Arabidopsis thaliana: one gene and its partners. The protein of the gene in region 2 interacts with the protein of the main gene of each other region in a pairwise test. Each region holds a gene or a part of one and is shown on either strand. Other genes may lie near its edges.

Region 1 (3,759 bases), 8.1 Mb from region 2:
AATTAAAAAAACGTACGAAACGAATAATTACGAGAACTTAAGAATGTAAAACAAATCATGATGATGATTGATTATTCTATGTGTGGACGACGAATGCAATAAACATCTCTTTGTTTTACTTTCTATTTAGTAAACCTTGAGTCCTCGATGGCCAATCAAAGTACTATACGTAACTTTGTTTTGGGTAGGGAGTACTACTATACATAATTAATGTAGCATAAAGCATAACGATATATTTTCGCCTTAAAACTGTAAACTTAACCGTAATAAAATTGTGTGCCGCATGTCTAAATAATTCGTGTGTTCATCTTTTAGTGAAGTAATAAAAGGCAAGGGTAAAATGGTCCGCACAGACGCAGACATCGATGAGATCGAAAACAAAAGTAACGAGATGAGACCAAACGTGCAAGCCATGGGTTGGTCCAACACTTATCATTTTTAGGCCTAAAAGTTTGTGATTATTCCCTGCCTTTTTATCCTCCCATTTTTTCTTTTATTTACCAACATATTTTCTTTTTACATACATCAGTGAGATTTTTTCGACTTTTTTTTCAACTTCGTGTTCAAAGATCAGCGAGTTTTTTAGTTTGACTATTGATGCATCATACATTTGTTTAACCAGTGGTACATACATACGATTGATACACTTTTACAATCCACGTATTTACGACAAATGTGAATTAATATTTAATACACTTTATTATTAAATTCAGGCGTCTTTCTTTTGTGAAAAAAAAACACTTAATTATATGCATTCATTCTATAATTACTCATTTCATTATTAATTTCGTAAGTAATTATTTAGTATTATACTACTACCCCGCAGTACCATATTATCAGCTTTGAATACCCATAAATAACTAGTTTGATAACTACAATGGATTGGATTGAAACATTAGTAGACTAGGAAAAATCTCTTTTATATAATACTAGTATTCAAAAACAAAAACAAAAACTGTTATCAAATATACATCCACTTTAGTATGTTTTCCAGTACGAACCGAAATTGGAGTATGGACACTGCATAAGCAGCAGAAATGTGTACTTGAAAGGTTCACACCTTAAGATTTCATGCCGACCAATCGTGTCGGCCCACCAACACTTTAAAGCTCTTTAACCCAATTCCGCGTTCTTTCAGAAGAACAATTTCAGCATTCAACTTTTTGACCTTCCATTTTCTTTTTCTTCATTTTTTTACATTTGATTTTCTCCCCATAAAGTTTAATTTTATCATTGTTTATGTCTTTTGTCTTTTTTATGTCTTTCCTCGAGTAACACTGTCCGAAAATAACAACTCTTAATCGTGCGCAGTCACATAATTTAGGAATAACAAAGTCATCCTTTATAATTTCATTACTAGAATTTTGAAAAGAAAATTAAGAGACTACTAAGTTTTACTCCTAGTTTGACTGACCATATTTGTCGATTAATTTATAAAACATGTTGTTTGTTTGTTTTTAACGGGTAACTGGTGATAAAACAGAAATCTCTAAAACTCTACCGAGTTATATCACATTACTTGTTTAATTGGTTCAGATATTATCATCATCATATAGAACAATCCACCAGTTATGCCTGATTCTTAAAATCAGTTATACCAAAATAATTCTCATATAGAGAGAAAAATAAATTTGGTTGGAACTAAAGCAAATGACAAATCAGTACAACAACGATTACATGTATATATAACTTAAAAAGTTAAAACAAGATAATTGAATGGTTATCCAAAGAACTCTCTCACCTAATAATAATCTTAAGATGCCACAAATCCAAAAAAAAATAATCACAATTTTGCAAATTTAAATACTTTGCTTTGTCTATTCTTGGTAGGTTTTGTTTTTCTCTCTTCCGTTCACACAATTTCTTGGCGATCACGAAAGACAAAAAAGAAAAAGAAGAAAACAAGAGATTTCACATCAATCAAATCGATTCCATTGCGCGTGTAACCGCAATGCGCAATTGGGAGGACCCGTTTACGCTTGCGTGTAACACGGCCTTGAAGAAGAATCTACCTTCTTGCATTTTCATCATCATCTTTATCAGCGTGTTATGTCCGGTGGCAATGTCTCAGGTGGTTGTGCCGGATTCAGATGCAGATTGTCTCTTGCGATTCAAAGATACATTAGCAAATGGTTCAGAATTTCGTAGTTGGGATCCATTATCATCACCATGTCAAGGAAATACAGCAAATTGGTTTGGTGTTCTTTGTAGCAATTACGTTTGGGGATTACAACTTGAGGGAATGGGTTTGACCGGGAAACTAAACCTCGACCCATTGGTTCCAATGAAGAATCTGCGAACCATAAGCTTCATGAACAATAACTTCAATGGCCCAATGCCTCAAGTTAAGAGGTTTACTTCGCTGAAATCTTTGTATTTGTCTAATAACCGGTTTTCGGGGGAGATACCCGCAGATGCATTTCTAGGTATGCCACTTTTGAAGAAAATTTTGCTGGCTAATAACGCATTCCGAGGAACAATTCCTTCTTCTCTAGCCTCTTTGCCAATGCTTTTAGAGTTGAGGCTAAATGGTAATCAATTTCAAGGGCAAATACCATCTTTTCAACAGAAGGATCTTAAATTAGCTAGCTTTGAAAACAATGATCTCGATGGACCGATACCTGAAAGTCTTCGAAACATGGATCCAGGCTCTTTTGCAGGTAACAATAAAAATGTTCTACATATTAATATTGTCATATAATGCTTTTAGAATCAAATGTCAACATGACATCCTTTTTAGGTGTGCAACTAGAGAATTCATTATTTTCATATAAATTTTGCATAAACCTTTCAAGAGTTTGATGCATTTTTGATGACATGAATATTCTATGTTTTGTAAATTGTAGGTAACAAAGGTTTGTGTGATGCTCCCTTAAGTCCATGTTCCTCTTCCTCTCCGGGGGTTCCTGTTGTTCCGGTATCTCCCGTTGATCCAAAATCTACTTCTCCTCCCACGGGGAAAAAGGCCGGATCTTTTTACACTCTAGCAATCATTTTGATTGTTATTGGCATAATACTAGTGATCATCGCGCTTGTGTTCTGTTTCGTTCAATCAAGAAGACGTAATTTCTTGTCAGCTTATCCTTCTTCTGCGGGAAAAGAAAGGATAGAGAGCTATAATTATCATCAATCCACAAACAAGAACAATAAACCCGCAGAATCCGTAAATCACACAAGGAGAGGATCGATGCCTGATCCAGGAGGAAGGCTTCTATTCGTGAGGGACGATATTCAAAGATTCGATCTTCAAGATCTTTTGAGAGCTTCAGCTGAAGTTCTTGGTAGCGGAACATTTGGTGCTTCATACAAAGCAGCGATATCTAGTGGACAAACATTGGTTGTGAAGAGGTATAAACATATGAACAATGTCGGAAGAGATGAGTTTCATGAGCATATGAGACGGTTAGGGAGATTAAACCATCCAAATATATTGCCTCTCGTTGCTTACTATTACCGTAGAGAGGAGAAGCTTCTAGTCACTGAATTTATGCCCAACAGTAGCTTGGCAAGCCATCTTCATGGTATGTTTGAATAAGAATTGTTAATAATTTGACATTTTATAAAACTTTTTGTGAATACTAACTATTTGAATTATACGTTCGCAGCGAATAATTCCGCTGGATTGGATTGGATAACACGTTTAAAGATCATAAAAGGAGTAGCAAAGGGTTTATCTTACTTGTTTGACGAGCTTCCAACACTAACAATCCCTCATGGTCATATGAAGTCATCGAATATTGTTTTAGACGATTCATTCGA
Region 2 (3,576 bases):
CGATCTCTTCTTCTTCACACTCTTGCTACTAACCTTTTTAAACCTTAATCTCTTGGACTCTTCTCAATCGTAGATGGACGCTTACAGTTTCGCTATACGTTCTCGAGTTGATTGCATTGAAGTCGATGTTTCTCGTTCCTCCGATGGTGTTTTATTCGCTCTTCACAACAGGTTACAGACTCTGATCCTTGTTGTATCATCTTCTTCTAATGTTTCTGTGTTTGGATTCTCATCGGTGTTCTTCTTATTCATCTTCTGATCACACGCACAGTCAGGGATCTGCAGCGTATTGCTCGTAACTCTTCTGTTCAAGTTGGAGATCTGAGTATGAAACAGGTCTCATCTCTCCCTCTCTCTCTTTACCAGCTTTTGGGATATGCTTTTTTGCATCCATTTTTCATAAACCTTTTGATGATCTTTTTGCAGATCAAGGAACTCGATGTCTCGGAGATTGTTAAAGGAACCTTGGGAAGTAGTAGGATTCCTACTCTTGAAGAGGCTTTAGCGGTAATGCCTGTTTTTTTAATTACTATCTTGTCATTGCTTTGCTTTGTAATTTCTGCTTAGTAACAAGTGGCTGAAGCTAGTTTTGATCTTGAATCATCTAGTTGATATCGAATTCAGTCCGGAAAGTGATCCTTGATGCCAAAGTTGGACCGCCAATGTATGAAAAGGGGTTAGCACAAGACATCCTTTCTATTGTAAGTACTATGTTTTTGTTAGCTCTTGTACTTGTAAAGCTTTAGTACAATGTGCTCGAGATTTATAAACATGTTTTGATTCCTTAATAGCGTTGCTTAATCATTTATTTCCTGGTATCTTTGTACACAAAGCTAGAACAGCTTACTATAGATACTTGAAAAAACAAGAGTATGGATAAATTGTTGATGTTTCAATGGTGGTATTTCTGGCTTTGCTCACATGAATCGCCAATCCTCTGTTGTTAGATTGAGAGAGCGCAGTGCAATAATTGCATCGTATGGGCCAAAAGCGACACTTTGGCTAGGGACATAATTAGACGAGCACCAGATACTATGGTAAACAGAAATGGATTGTCTTGTGAGGATCAGATAGAGAAGTTTCTTGCTCATTTCCTAGTGATTTTGGCAGGTGGGATACATTGTGATGGTAGATCCTTTGACTGGGGCGAGAAACAGCCTGCTGAGAATGAAGGGAGCTAGGGTTGTGGGAGTTTATCATCCCTTGATCGATGAAGAATTAGTTAGAGTTGTCCGTCGGTAAGCAATCGATTTCAATGTTTTCAAATAAAAACACACCTGCTCATGTGTTTACAACCTTGCTCGATCTGATCAACAGGAGAAACAAAGAGGTGTATGCATGGACTGTGGATGATGCTGATCCCATGAAAAGGATGCTTCACTTAGGTGTGGATGCTGTTGTGACGAGCGATCCATCTATGTTTCAGGGTCTCATGGAAGATCTTAGAACTGAGTGTCTTGAAGAAGGTTTTTCAATACGGACGTGAGAATTTCTTTTTCGAGCATTCTTAATGACTGTAATACCAACTCAGAAGTTTTTGGCAAAGATCTTTCTTTATGTTGTTTTGCTGATCCACAAGTTTTTGACAACTACACACTACGACGCCTTGATACACAGTAAGACGAGTCTTTCTCAAGAAAAGCAAAGTATGGCCGGTTCTTGATGAAGCCATTGCTTCTATCGATACAGCTACTGATAATCTGATCCAGGAGACTCTGAGGCAACACTTTTCGGACTGCACAGTGAAAACAATCTCACACAGATATCTTCTTTTATACATAACGATATGAGCCTGCTCCTAGAACAAGGTCTAATACACTTGTATTTAAGTTTAAATAATCAGATGACTGATATTAAGTCTGTTTATATAATATGGATAGAGAACGATATGATAAGGTGATTGAAGCATGTTCTTTGAGTAAAGATCTGGAGATACTTTCATTCGGTGATCAGACCGTCATTGGAGAACGCGGCATCAATTTGAGTGGTGGACAAAAGCAAAGAATACATATTGCACGCGCTCTCTACCAAGATGCGGACATCTATCTGTTTGATGATCCTTTTAGTGCTGTCGATGCACACACAGGGTCACATCTCTTTAAGGTACAATCTTCTTACTTAGCCATTAGTGTGATTGTGATTTCTCCTTCCGTAAACAATCATGTATCAAATTTATTTTCATTCTCATACTTTTTTCAGGAAGCTCTACGAGGGCTTTTATGTTCTAAATCGGTTATATATGTAACCCATCAAGTTGAGTTCTTACCTTCTGCTGATCTTACACTGGTATGTGAATAGTTCACTGTCTTTTATCATTTTCTACAGCACTGAGAATATGAAATCATCCATAACCGATTTTCTTATGCCTCAGGTCATGAAAGATGGGAGAATCAGCCAAGCTGGAAAATATAATGATATCCTCATCTCTGGAACAGATTTCAGGGAGCTTATAGGTGCGCATCAAGAGTCTCTGGCAGTAGTTGGGTCGGCTGATGCCAGTTCTGTTTCTGAAAACTCAGCTTTAGACGAAGAAAATGGTGTTGTGAGAGATGATATTGGTTTCGACGGGAAACAAGAAAGTCAAGATCTGAAGAACGATAAATTAGATTCTGGGGAGCCCCAAAGACAATTTGTTCAAGAGGAAGAGAGGGCGAAAGGTAGCGTCGCTTTGGATGTATACTGGAAATATATCACACTGGCATACGGAGGAGCTCTTGTGCCTTTCATATTGTTGGGGCAAATTCTCTTTCAGCTTCTACAGATTGGAAGTAACTACTGGATGGCTTGGGCTACTCCTATTTCTGAGGATGTGCAAGCTCCTGTGAAACTTTCTACGTTAATGGTTGTGTATGTTGCTTTGGCATTTGGAAGTTCCCTCTGCATTCTTGTTAGAGCCACGCTTCTTGTCACGGCTGGTTACAAGACTGCTACTGAACTGTTTCATAAAATGCATCACTGCATTTTCCGTTCTCCAATGTCTTTTAAAATTGCAAAAACTTGTTCAAAAACTTGTATATATTCATCATAACTATATCCAAATATGTATTATATTGACAGAAAGAAAGAAAACAAGAGAAAATAAAACATAAAAATAATCCATAATGTCAAATAAAGAAATTACAATATACTTAAAATAAATAAATATCTAAACATCTTTTTTTTAAAAATATTCTTTTTAACTTACATATAATATTGTTAAAAATTGAAAGTATAATTAACAACATCAAAGCATCAAATTTGAAGGAGAAATCATTGTTGGCAAATACGAAATCGTTCTTTGTCTAAAAAAAGAAACTTGATCTTGACGATTTCTGATATTTGAAAAATAGGCAGCCGCTAGACCAAGCATCCAAAACTTTTCATGTAATTGGTTGGTTCTTATAACGTCAATCTTAATAGAATATATTTTCTCCCATTTTTCGGTAGGATATTCTTGGTGTAAACTCCAAACGACCAAATTTGAACTTTCTAGCACATCCGATAGGCACAAACGTTCATTCAGATTCCACATTTCTATATTAGTAGCATATTTGGTGTCACACTCTGGTAATAATATCCATCGAAATTCTTCAGTGT
Region 3 (3,759 bases), on a different chromosome or scaffold from region 2:
TTACAATCTCCTGAAAATCTCTCATCCCTGGAGGAGTGTAGGGAGAGTTATCATAGTTTGAATGCTCTCCACCTTCAAGAATTTCATTGAAATCACCACAGAGAATCCATGGTTTGTTACGAATCAACGGCGAGTCGTGATGAGAGCGAATATCTTCCCACAAAATACGTCTCTCCTCCACAAAATTTGAAGCATAAATAAAAGAACAAAAGAATTCTTCTTCTTTACCTTCCAACAGAATCGAACATGTTATCATTTGACTACTCTTAAATACCGGAGTTAGTCGAGCATTGTCCCTCCAAACAACCCAAATGCGGCCTAACCGATGTGATTCATAATTAGTTATAGACGACCAACCACTAAAAATAGACGAAAGTAGTTCAGCTGATCTGCCCTCCTTGACTCTCGTCTCCAGAAGACAACCAAATTGCATAGAACTGTGATTCACCCAACTTTTGATAATGGAATGTTTAGAAGATTTATTTAGACCACGGACATTCCAAAAGAAACCCGACATAAAAATTATTTCTTTTTATGAGCCCTATGACCTGAAACACTAGGGTTACCCTTCGTGTTTTGATTCGCAGAGCTTTTGACCACCTTATGCTGAGACTTTGAGATTCGTGGGATGTACGGACGAGTCCCTTGAACACCAACTGAATCTGAATTATCATTTAATTGTTGGGAGAGAACAACAATTTCTCCTTCCTCATGACCGTTTGTGTCAGCCGTGTCCTCCTCCACTGCTAGGACATCAAAACGAGAAGGAGACGCATGATTAACTACTTCTTGAGGTTGAGGACTCCTCTGCCTGCCTACCTTAGCAGGCGATACCGTGTGCCAGGGACCTTCGTCCTTCAAATTTTCCTCGTTTTCCTCTGCAACTTCCTTTCCCTTATTCTGTAAAACAGTCGGATTCTTCATTGGAACTTTCTGAGTGTGAGAATCACCGTTTAGCGTTTTTGTCAAAGTAGCCGAAGGAGATTTCGATAGTATTTCGAGAGGTTTTTCTTTCATGAGAGGAGGCTCTGTTTTATCCTCTGTTTCTATCTCCGTTGGTGTGGATAGCTGATTGGGTGATGGACGCGTTAGACAAACCTCTTGTATATGTCCCCACTTAGAGCATGAAGAGCATCTCGGCGGCAACCAAGGATACTTATATTCGACCATTGCATCAACGCCAGTTTCAGATTTAAAGCGGAATTGTTTTGGCATTTCCTGTGTTAAATCTGCTTCTACAAATACCTTAGCTTCCTCAAAACTGTTGCACAGAACTGTGTCAGGGTGAAGCTTTTTTGGTTCCCCAATAGGACTTGCAAGAAAACTCAGACCCTTCCAAGTAAACATTGAGCGTGGAACATTTTTAATGGTGATCCACATTGGCATTGTTTTAATTTCTGGCTGAGCATCCTCAGCAACCGGGGACCATTTAGAAACGATCATAGGCATGTCAGCTATGTTCCACATTCCTCTGCGAAGAACCCTAGCTCGGACTGAACTCTCTCTGATTCGGAATTTGATTGTTTTAGTGTCTACCACATATGCGTCAATCTTTACCGTCTTGTCTCCAAGTGGCCAGATCTTGTTCACAATAACGTGAACTTTTGCAATATGCGGAGATATTTGTGGAAACCGCCCTATGAGCAAATCATCCCACAATGGTGTTGAATCTTCAAAGATTTCATTTGGGACTTGGACAATCGAATCACCGTTGACCATTGTTACGTTGAATTCATGCTTCGAAAGGGTTGGTCTATTCTGAACAATTGATGAGTATGATGGTTTGGTCGTTTCTGGGGAAGCTTCTGAACTTTTCGATGTGCTCTCCACCACCATCGCCGTCGACATGATGGGGGAAGACGGCGGAAAAGCCGCCAGATCTGCCAGATTGGGACACACGGTAGTGAAACCCTAAATCGCCTTCAAAATCGCCCTGCCACGTCAGCCCTAATTTTTTACCTTTGATTGATTGGTCTATGATTAGTTTGCCGCTGAAAAAATCAACAAAATATAATGTGTCAGTGAATAACATGATTTTTCTTTTTAATCAAAAAACATGATCTTTGTATACTAATTCTGAAACTTAATTATATATATTCGATCCAATCTAGTAAACTAGTTTATAGGACGGGATCCAAACGAAATACTTATCCACGAAAGAAACCTTTATATATCTTTGTGCTCGAAAGTTTTCTCATTCGTTATTTTGGTGGCTGACTACTAAATGAAGATATACCAAATGATTTTTCTTCACTCAAGCAATTTAAGCACATAGACAAAGTAAGATCATCTGGCGATAAACCATACATTCGTGGAGGAAATATTCCTACACATGACGAGTCTCCTGAACATATACAACTATTCAACACCAGATTGATTATTTCCACGATCATTATTTAATTTTCTACCCGGAGTTGACTTTTGTATATTTCATTCCAACTTATACATGAGGTATCTCTCAGTTCCATATCTTTTGCAGTTTTCCCTAAGCAAGTCTTTGTTTTTTCTTGAGTACTAGAGAAACCGGATAGTGATCGAGAGAGAACATGAAGATTCACCTTTTGTTGGCCATGATTGGAACCTTTGTCGTTATAATTGGAGCCCAGGATCAAGAAGGTAATGATATATACCATCTCTTTCTTGTTTATAAATCAATCCTTTGACTTGTGATATGTTATATAAGAATGTATCAATATCACTTTTCCCATTTATTGCTTTTATATTTGAACAGGTTTCATCAGTTTAGATTGTGGATTACCTAGTGACGAATCTCCTTACGATGATTCGTTTAACGGATTAACATTCACATCGGATTCCACTTTCATCCAAACAGGAAAAATTGATAGTGTCGATAAAGATCTTAACATAAACTTATCAAAACAATATTTGACTCTTAGATACTTCCCAGAAGGAAAACGTAATTGTTATAGTCTTGATGTCAAGCGTGGCACAACTTATCTCATCGTGGTTAGCTTTGTATATGGAAATTATGATGGTCTTAACCGTGATCCAAACTTCGATATCCATCTTGGTCCCAATAAGTGGAAAAGAATAGATTTGGATGGAGAGAAAGAAGGTACAAGAGAAGAGATCATACACAAAGCCAGGTCAAACTCTTTGGATATTTGTCTTGTTAAGACAGGAGAAACTTTGCCAATAATTTCAGCCATAGAAATACGGCCACTAAGGAATAATACGTATGTTACACAATCTGGTTCGCTGATGATGTCTTTCCGGGTTTATCTTAGCAATTCAGATGCATCTATAAGGTAAGTCAATCTATTTGAAGCATTCAATGTGACGTTTTTCTTTTGAATAAAATTTAACATTATTCTTTTAAAAAATGTGAGGTTTTTCTCTCTTTTTTTTTCTGGAGAAGATATGAATGAGGGGATATGTTGACTTTACTTGTGTTAAAAACATCATTGTTGAATGATGTGTTCAAAATTTTAAGACTCCAACGTAACTACATTATGCCAAAACTATATGGCAAGTCATTGTAACAATTGAACAAAGAACTAAGAACAACGAACTAGAAATAAAAGATACTAATATGAGCTAAGAAAACAAATTTTTTTTTTCTTTTTTTTGTTCACAATTAAAACTAAATTAATTAATTGAAAGAAAATAAGCAAGAACCAAACAACCAAATCAAACATACAAAAGACTAACATTATTGTAAATCAAACTAAACAAGCAACGATAAATGAAATTGAATGATTGAATTCATTATTAAAAAAACGAGCCAAGGTGATTGAC

What was found.
Region 1: the proteins of NAP5 (region 2) and PRK5 interact in a protein complementation assay, tested with the Arabidopsis thaliana proteins (one large-scale study listed by BioGRID).
Region 3: the proteins of NAP5 (region 2) and AT2G28990 interact in a protein complementation assay, tested with the Arabidopsis thaliana proteins (one large-scale study listed by BioGRID).

What each region holds. Positions count from the first base shown.
Region 1 is NC_003070.9:18,740,220-18,743,978, forward strand, and holds the start of PRK5 (Leucine-rich repeat protein kinase family protein), read left to right. Parts: upstream 1-1,807; 5' UTR 1,808-1,951; coding exon 1,952-2,660; intron 2,661-2,846; coding exon 2,847-3,521; intron 3,522-3,605; coding exon 3,606-3,759. UniProt on the Arabidopsis thaliana protein: Receptor-like kinase involved in the control of pollen germination and pollen tube polar growth. The extracellular domain serves as a sensor for peptides derived from GRI. May act as a downstream element for ROS-dependent cell death induced by GRI.
Region 2 is NC_003070.9:26,883,466-26,887,041, reverse strand, and holds NAP5 (non-intrinsic ABC protein 5), read left to right. Parts: upstream 1-1,872; coding exon 1,873-2,103; intron 2,104-2,199; coding exon 2,200-2,286; intron 2,287-2,371; coding exon 2,372-3,028; downstream 3,029-3,576. Other genes in the region: GDPD4 (PLC-like phosphodiesterases superfamily protein), read left to right, coding at 74-171, 276-336, 427-507, 609-701, 948-1,037, 1,111-1,238, 1,318-1,486; AT1G71320 (F-box family protein), read right to left, coding at 3,224-3,576.
Region 3 is NC_003071.7:12,452,509-12,456,267, forward strand, and holds the start of AT2G28990 (Leucine-rich repeat protein kinase family protein), read left to right. Parts: upstream 1-2,128; 5' UTR 2,129-2,546; coding exon 2,547-2,616; intron 2,617-2,731; coding exon 2,732-3,269; intron 3,270-3,759.